2 linked regions of the Saccharomyces cerevisiae S288C genome follow. Changing the gene in region 1 together with any one later gene gives a genetic interaction. Each region holds a gene or a part of one and is shown on either strand. Other genes may lie near its edges.

What was found. A genetic interaction does not mean that the proteins touch.
Region 2: mutations in GPI16 (region 1) and DFG5 together harm fitness more than expected from each alone (negative genetic interaction), as found in Saccharomyces cerevisiae (2 studies listed by BioGRID).

What each region holds. Positions count from the first base shown.
Region 1 is NC_001140.6:481,687-485,444, forward strand, and holds GPI16 (GPI-anchor transamidase subunit GPI16), read right to left. Parts: upstream 2,152-3,758; coding exon 319-2,151; downstream 1-318. Other genes in the region: Elongator subunit IKI1, read left to right, coding at 1-233; PTH1 (aminoacyl-tRNA hydrolase), read left to right, coding at 2,342-2,914; ERG9 (bifunctional farnesyl-diphosphate farnesyltransferase/squalene synthase), read left to right, coding at 3,159-3,758. UniProt on the Saccharomyces cerevisiae protein: Component of the GPI transamidase complex. Involved in transfer of GPI to proteins.
Region 2 is NC_001145.3:744,531-748,288, reverse strand, and holds DFG5 (putative mannan endo-1,6-alpha-mannosidase), read right to left. Parts: upstream 1,937-3,758; coding exon 560-1,936; downstream 1-559. Other genes in the region: RNT1 (ribonuclease III), read left to right, coding at 1-27; BCH1 (exomer complex subunit), read right to left, coding at 2,366-3,758. UniProt on the Saccharomyces cerevisiae protein: Required for normal synthesis of the cell wall.

The DNA of each region.
Region 1 (3,758 bases):
CAACCACTAAGCAAGAAGAGGAGAGCAGTAGTAACGGACTGGAGACACCCGAAATGTTGCAAGGATTAACAACATTCAACCTAGGAACATCCAACAAACAGAAGCTGGCCAAAGATCAAGTCGCATTGCCTTTTCTGGAGGCACAAAGCTTTGGACAAGGGGGTGCTATTGTTTATGAGTACGAAAAGGATGACGATTATGATGAAGAGGATCCATATGAGGATCCCTTTTAAAAAGTAGAAACTGATGGTAAATAGTGAGTGCTTCCAGATTATGTAAACTACGTATACTTCATACACATATCTAGATGCTAGATTGTTAGTCTGTTTTAGTCTTTTTTTTCCCTAGGAACTTTTCCTTTAGCTTTAGCAATTTGTATTTTAAGCCAGATTGCAACGTAATCTTATCGGCCTCTTCGACGGTGACCATTCTCTTCACCATCAAATTGTATAGCATACCGAATATGAGTCCCATGATTGTAGATGTTAGAATGATGACGTTATACGGCATACTAAAATCCGGTGTAGACAGGGATAACAATAGGGTAGAGGTTCTCATTTCATAAAGAGACGATGAGGACTCCAAAGATAGCACGGTGATTACAGCTGCATCGATTTCAAAACCATGGTTTGCATCTGGTGGATACTCGGCAAATTGCAGAAGAGCTTTATCGAATTGATAAGTCATTACAATGTCCGTATTAGCTGGAATTAACATCGTGAACTCCAAGTGGCCAGGTCTTTTTCTATCGGCCGCTTGTAAATAGTATTTATCTAAGATGATATCGTTTTCTTGCAATTGCGGAGAGGTAGTAGAAGTAATTTGAAGAGAGGATAGGTAAACTCTCATGAACCATGGCAATGATTCGAAATAAATCAACTTCACAGGGGTATCATTGTCGTTATGGAAAACAATACGCATTCCACCACGATCTTGTCCATTACCAGTCAGAGATCTGCTTACGTGAATTGGGACAGGAACTATGGGAGTAACTTTAGTAGTGTCCGTCGATTCTAAAATAAAGTCGTAGCCCGAACCACCCTCATTTTGATCGTTTGATAAGTCAAAGCAATTATCATGTGTGCTGAAAATAGTATCGTCAACTGACAAAAACGCAGTCCAGGTAGAACGGTCAACTTCTGCACAAATTCTTGTGGGCCTATTAGCAAACAGGTTGCCATTGTTTATTGGTCTGGCAAACAGCTGAGACAGCTTGAAGTGAGTCTGCGAAGGTTCCGGTAGAGGGAAGCATTGGTAAGAATCAAAGGGTTTATCCGTGTCACAACGCAATGTGTTCCCATCCAAAGGTTTGGGGATAGGTCTCTCACCTCTTGCCAAGGCGGAGGGAACGTGTGTTACCATTTCTATGCGTGCGTCCATCTCGTAGTGACAAAGAGCATCTTCATCTTCAGAACAAATAGTGGCAATATCCAAGGAAATACTATTCCATAGAGAGTCGAACAATTTATGACCATCCAAGAGAGATGTCAAACCGGATTTGCCCCTAGTAGGCAATAGTTTTATGAACGGCGTCAAGTTCTCGGTACAGATGGGTTCATTGGGCAACGATGCTCGCATCAGGTACAGTTTCTCGGTGCTATTGAAAAGAGGAGCTCCTATATCAGAAGCATATGACCGCCGGGGAAAGGTCGTCCTTGACTCGTCGATAAAATTTAAAGAAGAACAAAACAATCCGCTCAATGAATTGGACAGTTTTTTCCAATTATGGAACGCCTGTTCCTGATCCATGGCCTGCACTTGCGACCACAATTCCACACCTGAGGCACCTGCCTCTTTTCCAGCATGTGGCAACTGTCCCCACGACAGGGCATCCCAGAATCCTCTGGTAAATCTTAAATGAAACTGACGCGTGGCAGTAGATTCCAACAATGGTGGGATGGCCCGTGGGAAAGTCGTGTAGTGCTCATACGCATCATATGACATGGATGATACGGCCGGGTCAAACGGTTCCGATTGCAGTTGGAATGCAAATGAGAGTAGCAGATCATTGTTGGGCAGCGGCTTCAACACCAGTGCTTCGTCGTACGGATACCATAAACTGTCATTTATACCAATCTGCGACACCGTGTCTTCTGCGAACACACCCAGTAGTAGAGTGCCCAGCATGAAATAGGCCAGTGTGAGGATCATCGTCGTCTTGCCTATGCTTTGTTTGCTTTGAACACTTGTTTCCGCTCTCCTTTTACTTATTGGCTACTAAAACTACGTGTAAAAGATCGCCCAGCGCAAAAAGGTCCGGCGGTTTCAAATAATCTCGAACTATTCCTATAATATGCAAAATAGTAGGTAGGAACAAGTCGACTCTAGGCAGATAAGGAAGATGTCCGGTAAATGGAGACTAGTGCTGACCGGGATAGGCAATCCAGAGCCTCAGTACGCTGGTACCCGTCACAATGTAGGGCTATATATGCTGGAGCTGCTACGAAAGCGGCTTGGTCTGCAGGGGAGAACTTATTCCCCTGTGCCTAATACGGGCGGCAAAGTGCATTATATAGAAGACGAACATTGTACGATACTAAGATCGGATGGCCAGTACATGAATCTAAGTGGAGAACAGGTGTGCAAGGTCTGGGCCCGGTACGCCAAGTACCAAGCCCGACACGTAGTTATTCATGACGAGTTAAGTGTGGCGTGTGGAAAAGTGCAGCTCAGAGCCCCCAGCACCAGTATTAGAGGTCATAATGGGCTGCGAAGCCTGCTAAAATGCAGTGGAGGCCGTGTACCCTTTGCCAAATTGGCTATTGGAATCGGCAGAGAACCTGGGTCCCGTTCTAGAGACCCTGCGAGCGTGTCCCGGTGGGTTCTGGGAGCTCTAACTCCGCAGGAACTACAAACCTTGCTTACACAGAGTGAACCTGCTGCCTGGCGTGCTCTGACTCAGTACATTTCATAGCCCATCTTCAACAACAATACCGACTTACCATCCTATTTGCTTTGCCCTTTTTCTTTTCCACTGCACTTTGCATCGGAAGGCGTTATCGGTTTTGGGTTTAGTGCCTAAACGAGCAGCGAGAACACGACCACGGGCTATATAAATGGAAAGTTAGGACAGGGGCAAAGAATAAGAGCACAGAAGAAGAGAAAAGACGAAGAGCAGAAGCGGAAAACGTATACACGTCACATATCACACACACACAATGGGAAAGCTATTACAATTGGCATTGCATCCGGTCGAGATGAAGGCAGCTTTGAAGCTGAAGTTTTGCAGAACACCGCTATTCTCCATCTATGATCAGTCCACGTCTCCATATCTCTTGCACTGTTTCGAACTGTTGAACTTGACCTCCAGATCGTTTGCTGCTGTGATCAGAGAGCTGCATCCAGAATTGAGAAACTGTGTTACTCTCTTTTATTTGATTTTAAGGGCTTTGGATACCATCGAAGACGATATGTCCATCGAACACGATTTGAAAATTGACTTGTTGCGTCACTTCCACGAGAAATTGTTGTTAACTAAATGGAGTTTCGACGGAAATGCCCCCGATGTGAAGGACAGAGCCGTTTTGACAGATTTCGAATCGATTCTTATTGAATTCCACAAATTGAAACCAGAATATCAAGAAGTCATCAAGGAGATCACCGAGAAAATGGGTAATGGTATGGCCGACTACATCTTAGATGAAAATTACAACTTGAATGGGTTGCAAACCGTCCACGACTACGACGTGTACTGTCACTACGTAGCTGGTTTGGTCGGTGATGGTTTGACCCGTTTGATTGTCATTGCCAAGTTTGCC
Region 2 (3,758 bases), on another chromosome or scaffold:
AAAAGAAAATTCTCAGATACAAGCTGAAACGTTCCTTTTACACAACCATGATGGAACTTGCATTGATTTTCTTTAGCCATATAATTATCGCATATATGTCATTCATAAAACGTTTATAAAACATTAGAATATTTGATATATTTGAATATTTGATAAAAAATTTGATAATTTTTGGGATTCCATTGTTGGTCAAAGCTATAAAATTATGTATGTACTAGAAGTTCTCCTCGAGGGTATAGAAATCCTTAAAATGGAATCGGTATCTTACCATAAATGTTCCACTAGAATGTCATCAGATGAAAAAGACGAAAGAAACATATGACTAGCTCGCGTGGCGTAATGGCAACGCGTCTGACTTCTAATCAGAAGATTATGGGTTCGACCCCCATCGTGAGTGTTTTTTAGTATTTTTTTTAAAAACAATTGTTCCTCTCTAAATTTTAATCAGTTTTTGATCATGAAGGGTTTTGTATGTAGCACATAAACATTTTTACTGAAAGAAAAGGATAGCCTAAATATTAGAATACAATAAAATTTTTTTGAGCCTAGTTTGACACATTTAAAACAGCATCCACACAGCCCCACCAGTTAGCACACTCAGTATGACTGCTGTGATGATAGCGGCACCAGCGCGATCACCTTTCTTAATGTTTAAATTGTTTTGTAGCACGTTAGTGGTCGATGAGTTCATACCGGCATTCGCGTCACCTTTTGACGTACCGCCATTATCTTCCTTATATGGAGCTGGCCTGTCATGAATTAAAAGATTTTGAATAACTTCTAGAGCACTCATTTGCTCACCTAATCCATAGTAGCCATCATTGGTTTGTTTCTGCCAATTTAAACCACATGTATGCCCATCTGTACCACCATTACATGATTTTGCAGCGGCCTCAGCACTTGTTTTTATCAAATCATCAATTGTGTCCCTAGTAAAGGGAGCCATGACACTTGTAAGACCAAGCATACGAGAAAAAATACTTTTGAATGTTCTTTGATCGGTGTTACAGGTGCCATAGTCTTGACAAGCGCTTTCGTACATAATACTATCTTTGAAGAAATAAGATTTAGCACCATTTAGAATTTTTGTCAAACTGGTCTCCCATTCACCTGTTCCATTTGTAGCATTATACATGTATGCAAGACCACCAAGCACGATACCGTGATTATAAGTCCATTCAATTTTTGTAATATCAGTGCAATTTGTATCAATTTCAGCACCATCAAAGACATTTGCAGTATCGTTAAGAACCACATACCCGACATCCACTAGCCAGTCGAAAACCTGTTCAGCAACCTCCAAATATGTAGTGTTACCAGTATATCTGCCCAACCTCGCCGCAATCTGGAACAAACATGCATTTGAAACTGTATTTTTATAATTATAACCACTATTCCAAGTGAAAATTTGCCATCTCAGACCACCGCCACAGTGCTCTGAATCCCATCTTGAGTACATGGTGTTGAAAACAGCTTGTACCATTGCCAACCAACCTGGCTTGCCGTCACCGGGGTCTGTAAAATTTCTCTCGACAGCACCCATAACAGTAATACCCCAAATACCTTGGTCATCATTCCCCTCAACCATCGTTTGGTTGGACGGGATATAATCGTAATTGGAACCAGTTTGCGCTAATAGTGCATCGTATAGTAATTCTTGATATGTATCATTCTCACAAAGAAACCAATTTTCCAACATGCCACCAAATGCTTCCCCTGCATGCCACCAATAGTATGGTGACTGAAACATCCCAACGGTACCACCGTATCTAGTACCCTCATAGTAATCCAGCATACCACCTTGAATTAACGCTGTCGCATCACAAATTGACGTTTTGCTAGTAGTATCCAAATCCATGGCATGAGTGGCTTTAAAAAATGACAGAAACGTAAAGCATATCGATAAGATCATCTTCGCACTAATATTGACGATCATATCTGCGTTCTGGATATGATTTCGTTCTAATTTGTTCGTCCTATATAACAACCAAAAATTAATAAAGGTGATTCAAAATGAGATAAAGGACAATGTACACAGTCAATTACTTAATTAGATATTTGAGTAAAGCTGATCTTTTGGAGAAATGGGCTTTTCATTAATTTACATTCTATTTTTGGGTTATACTCAGTTTCGCTTTACGCGGATTACATTGTTTTTTTTTCGGGCGTGGCTCAGATTGTGAAAAAGAAATTAAACAATTTAAGATTACGGTTATCGCATTAGAGGCAGAATAACTTGAAAATGGGAAATTCCCCAAGAAGGTGACCTATACATGACAATGCCAGGATATCATACATAAAATACATAACCCGTTTCTTGTTAATTGATTTCTTTCACCTTTTTATTGATTGTATTCATCTTTTTCTAATTATCGAAAGTGTCATTCGTGAAATTCTTCAGAAAATTTAGAATGTTATCGTCAATCAATTGGGCTACTGGGTCAGAAAATCTAGAGGCAATTTCATTATGTACTTTAGTAATGCCCATATCTTGTACTGCAACACTCAGAGCATCTATTAATATTATTGAGAACTCGATGTACCAACGATGATTCCAGCAACAAATCTTGACTACTAGATCGATGATTGAGCTGTCGATGTCATTGATACTTGACAATATTTGAGAAGAGGTTAACTCGGAGTTTGCTGAGACTGAATCCCTCCTAATACGCTTATGCTCGTCAATGTAAAACTGTAATAGATTCTTTGCGCATACTGGAGAAAATCTTTGGGAAAGCCCAATTTGGAAAGCCTTCGCAGCTTCTGGAAGATGTCCCAGTCTTTTCGCACAAAGGCCGAATAATTCCCATTCAACAGTTAATTTGTGATATTTACTGTTTTGAGCATCAAAATACAATTGCTCTGATTGCCAATCGGTGTAAGTTTTCAAATCTTCGTATAGTAACATGAAGAGATTATCCAACCATCTTTCGCATAGCCTCTTTGATCTCATTTTGGATATATCATTACCGCGAACTTCTGCTTCATCAATGGAAGAAGTGGAGCCTTGGTACTCGTCTTCCATAACGAAAATTTTTGATCTATATTTCAACAGCTGCTCCCATCCTGTTATTTGGACAATTTCTGTCAATAATTTATAGGCTAGTTGGAAAGTAGACTTTAAACTTGACGCAGAGAGATTGACTAGGTTTGGATCTGCGGACTTTTGCTCCAACTGGACATCCATGGGGTTCAATGACGAAATCTCCTCAATTGAGGCATCCAATGGTAATGGCAGATGAAGATTTTCATCTGAAGTAATAGGCGCAATTCTTCTAAGAACGTATTTTTCCTTAACCTGTGACATGGGGCAGGCGTTTAACGATAGCAAGGCATTTGACATATCGTTTAGTTTAATGTATATTCTAGTCAATAAATACCAAGTTTTAAATTCGTTTGGTGCACAGTTAACAGCCTCCATGGCTACTTCCTTAGCAAGCTTGTAATCTCTCTTGACATCCAGTAAGAATTCACTTTGAATACTTAATAATTCGGATTTGAAGATTAGCTGGATATGGCTAGTCTTTGAATCGTCGGCTAAGAACGAAGAGGGGGAATTTAGTTGCTCGTTGATCAGGTCAACTGCATCTATCTCTAAATCGCACGCAAAATAAACACGAATTAATATTATTACTGCTTCTGGATGAATTTCTATTAACTTCTTGAGCATTTTACGACATGCTTCCAAACTCTTAGTTAACCTAACTATTTCCACTAAAGTTTCCACTAAATAATTATTGGTTAACGAGGGATTTAAA